Notamacropus eugenii: one gene and its partner. The protein of the gene in region 1 binds, or shares a complex with, the protein of each later gene. Links are inferred from orthologs where the notes say so. Each region holds a gene or a part of one and is shown on either strand. Other genes may lie near its edges.

Region 1 (3,600 bases):
AAACACATTACTTGAAATATTGCATATATACTACTTATATCTGCATAAAACATATTTGGTACAATCATGAAGATCAGAATAGACAGAAATACAAATATTTATTCAGTATGTAATATATGCCAGGCACAAGTAACAAAGAATTTTTAGTTGCTGTTTGGATATATTTATTTTTAATAAGTTAAAGTTGATTAAATATAAAAATTAATCTTTAATGGGCCCCCTGTTTGTCATGTTCAAAAATCTAAAATTCATCAAAACTATTTCCATGAGTCCATCATGCTACAATTCACAACATTCTAAGCATTCTTTTGATATGCCTTGATTGGAAGGATAGGAACACAAAAACGAGAATATGATAGCAAATTAAAAAAGCGCTGTTTTAACACGGTTAATCAGTTAGCCTAACCACATTTTAACTAATTCAGAATTATATTCAGAATTTGTCCATGCAGGAACCATATGGTAATTTTTTTATGATGACTTCAAAACTAGTAGATAATTCAAAGTATAAGTCACTGGACTGGAGTGGAGGGAAACAGAAAAGGCAGATAAAACCAAAATTGTAAACAAAGGTAACTCCTGAAGCCAAGACAGAAACAACTTTTAAACATGGCAATAGCCAGGAACTGAAAAGGCCAAGGAGAGAGTTTGAGCCTGGAAATCAGGAACTAGCTCCTCTATTGTCTCAAGATTAAGAAGCCTAGCTGCAAGGAGTCAAAATTTAAGTTATAACATACAAAAAGGGAAGGTAGGGGAAAAAAATACATTTTTCAAAAGCCCATAAAAAGGCACCAGAATCCCCACGCACTTGAGACATATGCAATGAACAATAAACATCCACTTCCTGAGGACATAAATAATAACGATGAGTGCTTATTAACATAACATCCTACTGCAAAAAGCAGCATTTTCCAACCAAATTATCAAATGAATTTTAAGAATGAAACTGCTACTACTCAAGTTTCATTTGGGGGTGGTGGGGAATAGAGAGAGGTTAAATGTGTATGTGAGCATTTATGTAGAAGACCCAGCTGGAATCTGCAATCACTTCTGCCACTAGAAAATGGATTACAGTCTCTTCCTGTGATGGGGCCTCTCTCCCTGAGTGACATCTTCATCCAAAGACCCCCCCTTCATAATGAGCCAAGACGTTCCATTTCTCAGTCTCCTTTGTCTCCCCATGTGAGGCATCCAATCTAGCAAAGGACTAACTTCTCATGTGCCCACTCCCTAAAAACCAGATCTTCCAATAGCAATGACCCAGATGGCTGAAACATTTCAGGCCTTATCCAAGCAAAGAAAATCGTGGGGGTGTGGGGGGAGGGAAAGAGGCAGGGAAGGGTAGAGGACACAGACGGTAAACAAGGGTGTGCTTGTGTGTCACCGATATCAATCCACGTTTTGGGAAACAGCCACAAACTAACAAAATATGTTTGGTCCTAGTTTACAGGCTGCCAAACCCTTTGTTTCCAAAGCATTTATCAATCCATTTCCCCCAGCTCCAATGCAGACAGCCATATGGAAGAGTGATGTTCCGTTACAACCTGGGAGCAAGAAAATCCCTTTAAGTCCCACTCCAAATTAGTGGATTTGCAGCAGTCAGTAGGTTGGTTCCTAAAGCGTTTTTTCCAAGAAGTCCAAATATGCTTAAGATTGACTTTTTTGAGTAATCACTTATTTTCACCGCCTATCTGAACATGCACAAGCAACTTTTCCCCCCTAGATAGCTCCCATTTCAGCCTTTTCAAAGGCACTTCCAAATGCTGAAATGTCATCATTCCCTCAGTTCCTATAAAGAGCACCACCACCCCCTCTTCGGCTCTCAACGTTTCTCCCCCAAGCCTTGGTTATCATGAATACTGTACTACACATACCATTACTCAGGACTGCAAAGCATCTGACTTGCCTTCACAAAGTTCCCCATTAGCAACTATGTAAAGGTACTCGGGATAAAATAAGAGCAAAGCAAATTCCTTCGCAATAAAGAAAAATACACACATATTTCACATATAATATACGTATTTTCCCCACGGAACTTCCCAGCCAAGCCTCCCTGACGCCTACACTGACAAGGCAGGGCCTCTCCTTTCTGGATGGCTTCTGGGCCGCGCACAATGCAGCCCGTGTCGCTCCCCGGGGGGTCGGCGTTCAGCACTCCGGGAACAGGCTCCATGTCTCCCTCCACCCCCGCCCCTAGCTTGCAAAGTGCCGACGGGCGCCTCAGTCCCTGGGCCCGAGCAGGCGCGAGGAGGCCCGGAGAACCACCTCCCAGAGAGTCCGGGAGTCCGAGGGCCCTGCCCCGCGCTCCGCACCCGGGGCTCGCCCTCAGCCCTGCTGCAATGACTTAGCACCGGGTCGAGCCGCGGGGCCCAGTGCACCTGCCCCGGCCGGTCCCCACCCTGGGGCCCCCTTCCCGCCTCCGCCCCCGGGCTCCCTCGCAGGCTCGGCCACCACGCGGGCCCCGGGGCCCCGGCTCCCCGCTACCTCCGTCCTCCCGCCCTCTCCCCCCGCCGCCCGCTGGGGGCCCTCACTCACCTTGGTCTCCTTCACGTGCTGCTTGACGCCCTCCGGGTACCACTGGACGCGCACGTAGCCGCGGCGCAGGGGGCTGGCGCGGCTCTCCTCGTTGCCCGGGCCGCCGGACTCGGAGCCCCCGGAGCTGCCGCGGCCCTCCTCGCCCTCCGAGTCCGAGTCCTCGCCGTGGATGAGGCGCACCAGCCCGAAGCGCACCGAGCCGCGGTAACGGCCCGACACCAGGTCGTGAGAGAAGAGAAGGCGCTGCGAGCCGGCGGCCACCGGCCCGGGGCCGCACACCGGCGGCCCACCCGCCGGGGCCGGAGCGACGGGCGCGGGGGCTGCGGGATCCGCCATGACTGCTCAGCAAGAGTCTCAGGCGGCGCAGGCAGCCCGGACTAAGGGAAACTGGGGGGGAGGGGGTGCGGAGCAGGGGGGGGAGTACCGCGGGGGAGGGGGCGGAGCTAGAGGGCGGGAGTAAGGCTACGGGGCGGGGCTGAGGCGTGATGACGTAAGACGCGCCGCCCGCCGTTGTCAGGGAACGGAGGATGCGGTTGCTAGGAGCCGAGGCCGGCTCTCGCTAGGGGTAGCCGAGAGGATGGACGCGGAAGAAGGGAAAGAATCCACGAGGGAAGAGGCGGGGCTCAGACTCGGGAAAGGAAGAAATGGACTTGGGGGCCGGATAGAAGAAGGGGTGGGGCAAAGGTGAGGTCCGGAAGGAGAGCAGGTGTTCCCGAGAGCGCAGTTTACGTGGGCGAGGCGCTTGGCGAACCTTTGTGCGCTCTGGGAATGCCCGCGGTCTTACTGGTGTGCTGGTGGGAGTCGGGAAGGTCCCAGTACGGAGCCGGCCTCAGGTGCTGCCCGCCTGGGTGGGCCTGGGACAGGTCGGGTAACCGCCTCGGCCTCAGCCTGCTCATGTGTAACATGGGAGTGACTGTCCCAGCGCTTACCTGGCGGGGCTTGTTGTGAGGTTCAAATGAGGAGGTATATATGTGTGTGTATGTATGTGTGTATGTGTGTATATGTATGTGTGTGTATATATGTGTGTATGTGTGTATATATGTGTGTGTATGTATGTGTGTATGT
Region 2 (3,820 bases), on another chromosome or scaffold:
AGCAGAGCTGGCAGAGGAGCCAGGAAAAACCTAGGTTCAACTTCTAAGCCAAAATAAACCACTTAACCTTTTAGTGCCCCAAGACAACTCTTCTATGACTTTTAAGTTATTGAGAAGGTATAGATCTACATTGGTAGAGAAAGTAAAGGAAGCTCCCTATACTAAATAAATAAAAAATAAAAATCACACGTCAAGTTTCACCCTGCCCTGCCCTCCCCAAAGGGAACTGGTCATTCTAATTAAACATATTGAGAAATTAGCCACAACATGGATACAAACAATCTGAAAAGGAATAAGAATTTTAACTTTATTTCATCAGTCTGGGTAATCAGTTCCTAAACGGGAAAGGCAAAAAGTGCTCTTTAATTAATGAGAAGCAGCCTTGGGAAAGCCAGAAGATCTAGGTCCTTTCTCTGAGACATAGTGGCTATGCAAGCCCCCAAGTCACAGAGGGACCCAGGCAGGTGCTGACCTTGGTAACAGACTCCCAGGCAAGCACCTTCTCTGCAACTTGACAGAGAGATGAATTAGTTATAAACCTCCGGGCCAGGATCACACAGGTCCAGCCCTCTATCCAGTGGCCACGGATTCCCTTCCCCCGGACATTCCTTGACTTGGGACAGGAGACAGACAAACCCCCCAAATTTGTTACTAGTTTTTGCAAATCATTTCAGACCCTCCCTAGGACCTACCACTGAGGGTCAGCCGGTGTTTAATCAGAAGGCCCAAGGAGGAGACATTTCAGGGTCCAAAAGGAGGTTTACTGTTTTTTTCTTGGCAAAGATTTCAACTAGCTCAGGGTTGCTTGACGAGAAAGTAAAGGGAGGGGTAGAGGGAGTCAGGAGGGAAAGGTGGGGGATGATCGGAAGGGGGGCGGGATGATCAAAAAGGGGAAGGGGGATGGGAGGAGGAAGGCCATGCCGGGGGATGATCAGCAGGGGGCCGGGGCGGACGGCGGCCATGCAGCGGCCACCACGTGTTGCGGGCGGCGGACAAACGTCGCCTCGCCCCCGGCCCTAACTTGGCCGCCGCCCCCCGGAGCCGGCAGGGTGCAGCGCCCCCCCGGCCGTGCTCTCCCGCGGGGGTGGTGGGCGCCAGAAGTGTTCGGCTTCGCCCCCACCCGCAGCCACGCGCGGCGCCCCGCTCCCCGCCGGCCCTCCCTCCCAGCCCGGGGTCCTCTCCAGGGGCTGCGGCCCACACTGCTCACGTTCCTCGCCGCCGCCCCGGGCCGCGGTCCTCAAGCTGGGGGTCGGCCTCGGCCGAGACCCAGGCCCCGGACGCTCCCACGTTCGCGCGCAGACCAGGCCCCGGCAGGGCGGGCAAGCCCCGCCGGATCCCCCACGCCCCTCCCGCCTCGGGCCGGCCGGCCGTTGGAAGCCCCGCGCGCTCCCTCCTCTCCCGGCCCGCTCCCGTTACCCGCGGCTGCTGCAGGAACCAGGCGGCCGGAGCTGCGCAGGCTGTGACTCAGGGCGGCGGCGGCGGGAGGAGACGAAGGAGGCGGAGGAGGAGGAGAAGGAGGCGGCGCCCCGAGCAGATGGCGCTAAAAAGACCCGAGAGCCCGCCGCTCGCGCTCATATACAATCAGCGTCAGCACGTAAGTGCCCGTCACCCCTCCCCCTCCCCTTCGGCGGTCACCCGGGGAACGCGGAGGGGGCGGGCCTGGAGCCGGGCGCCTAGCAACGGGGCCAGCTTCCGGCACGCGTGCGGGCTCTCCCCCCCCTCCCCTTGCCGACTTCCACAAACCCTCGTGGCTCTCGGGGTGGGGAGGGTCAAACGCCCCCGACGTCTTCGGCGCGCGTGCGCGTGCTCGCCAGAACGCGGGAAAGAACCCCGGGCTCGGGCTCTCCCGCCCCTAGCCTCGTTCCGGCCTTGCCCTGCCCCTGCGTGGTCCGACGCGTCTTCCATTCCTGCCTCCCCCCCCCGCCCCCCCCGGGGGCATTTGCCCGGGCGTGACGCCTCGTCCCTTCCCTTCTAGGGGATGCAGACTCTTCCCCTTCTCTCGCGGCTGTCTACACTCTCCGGGCTTCCCGAGGATGCGATCCATCCATTAATATTGATTATGCATAAGCGCTCCCTCGGTGCCTAGCGTGGGAAGAAGACCGAGAGAAAAGGGGGGAAGTAACGGGGGGTGGGAGGAGGCAGAAAGAAGCGCCCTACCTGGCCCCCCGGAGCTCGCGTGCCCACCTTCCCGGAGCCGTCGCACGAGAGCTTGGCGTCCCGGGGCAGCCTGGCACCCGGCAGGGGCACTCGCTCAGACCAGTCCGGCCTGTGGCGCTGGACTGACTCATTTATAACTCCCGGAATGCCCCTGCCTCCCCTCCCCCACGGCGAACTTGGTGCTGTCATTAAACTCGGACTGAGGGGAGTCATCTACCCTAATCAGCCAATGTAGCAAATCACCTCCACGGTCTTCACTGATGCAGCCCTCCAGCCCTGCCGTTCTCACTAAAGTGAACTGCCCCCCCCCCCCCTGCTGGGCAGATACTGCCCTCCTGCTGGGCAGATTCCCCCCCCCCCCGCTGCTGGGCAGATACCCTCCCCCCCAGGCTTTTCTATTTTTCCCCCTTTATTCCGCAGGTTGGAAGCTTTCGGTCATCCTTAACCATCCTCCTTCATTCCTTCCTCTATCACTCTCCCTAACCTGGCTTATTTTTAAAGCATTCTTGAAAGGCTAAAATTAGCCGTGTCAGTAATTCTACTTTATTAGGAGTCAATAGGGTATTGAGTACACGGTGAAGACAATCCACCCTTCTAGTGCTGTTTTAATGGTATATTGGCATCCTTTATTATGTGTTTTCACATAATGAAGTGAATGAATATAGCCCAGATTTCGTAATCTGACGCTGGTACCAGCTAGTCACTTTCAGAGCAGTCTTTACACCTACTGATGTCATCAAATCAATTTAAAAAAAAATTCAGCGGAGCAAGGAGAAGTGCAGAAATTCCAGGCTCCTTGAGGCTACTTCTGGAGAAAGAAGGGGAAGTAGAGAACCACAGATCCTGTAGTGTGCACCTCTAGGAAAAGCAGACCATCTGATAGTTTGTGTTTTAACTAATTGTTCTAGCTAACAAAGTGTCAACCTCAGTTTTTTCTGTGCTGGTGGCAGACTGCAGTGTAATCAGCACCTTCTAAATGTCATTGCCCTGAAGCAAAGGTCCGATTGCCCTGCCCTAGTTATAGCTCTGATCATTTCACCAGTCTGAGCCTCCCTTTCCTCCCTTGTACATAAAACCTCAATGGGTTGTGAGGAAGGTGCTTAGTGAATCTTAAATCTCTAAATAATGTAAACCAGCAGTTAGTTGTCAAAAGTGTGGATTGGGATTCCTTTCAGGGGGTCCATGAGGGCAAAACTTTTCATATAATATTAAAACATTTTAATTTCTAACCCAGCAGAAATTAAGAGATATACATTGTACACAGTAACAACCCCAGTGTGTAAGGAATTTGTCTGATAGACTTAGCCCTTCATAGCAATGCAAGGACTTAAAACATTCCCAAAGGACTCTTGAGGCAAAATGCCATCCATATCCAGAGAAAGGACTATGGAATTGGAAAGCATAATGAAGCAGAATATTTTCTCTTGTGTTTAAAAAAAGAAATTAATAGGTATAACCTGCATCAATAAAAGCTCTTTTGGGGCTCCTTAGTAGTTTTTAAGTGTAGTATAAAGGGGTTCTGAGACCAAAAAGTTTGAGAACCCCTAATATAAATTATATATATAGATATAGATATAGATATAGATATGTGCATCTGATTTAATCCCGTACATGTGTGTACACATCTTAGTAAATAAATGCTTGTTCATAAACATTGATGTCT

What was found. Proteins that work in one complex are often made in the same cells at the same time.
Region 2: the proteins of UBE2O (region 1) and NAP1L1 are in contact, whole or in part, in a cryo-EM structure (PDB 7UN6), measured with the Homo sapiens proteins. The link is inferred for Notamacropus eugenii from reciprocal best matches to the Homo sapiens genes UBE2O and NAP1L1. Residues at the interface, in NP_071349.3 of Homo sapiens: Ser225, Asn226, Val282, Lys283, Pro284, Val285, Lys289, Ser290, Lys291, Phe292, Arg293; in NP_001317160.1 of Homo sapiens: Arg333, Arg337, Thr343, Gly344, Glu345, Ala346, Ile347, Asp349.

Annotation. Positions count from the first base shown.
Region 1 is NC_092873.1:342,947,324-342,950,923, forward strand, and holds the start of UBE2O ((E3-independent) E2 ubiquitin-conjugating enzyme), read right to left. Parts: upstream 2,893-3,600; 5' UTR 2,872-2,892; coding exon 2,536-2,871; intron 1-2,535. UniProt on the Homo sapiens protein: E2/E3 hybrid ubiquitin-protein ligase that displays both E2 and E3 ligase activities and mediates monoubiquitination of target proteins. Negatively regulates TRAF6-mediated NF-kappa-B activation independently of its E2 activity.
Region 2 is NC_092874.1:255,298,293-255,302,112, forward strand, and holds the start of NAP1L1 (nucleosome assembly protein 1-like 1), read right to left. Parts: upstream 2,292-3,820; 5' UTR 2,158-2,291; intron 1,595-2,157; coding exon of another isoform or gene 939-1,594; intron 805-938; exon of another isoform or gene 693-804; intron 1-692. Other genes in the region: uncharacterized protein, read left to right, coding at 939-1,594. UniProt on the Homo sapiens protein: Histone chaperone that plays a role in the nuclear import of H2A-H2B and nucleosome assembly.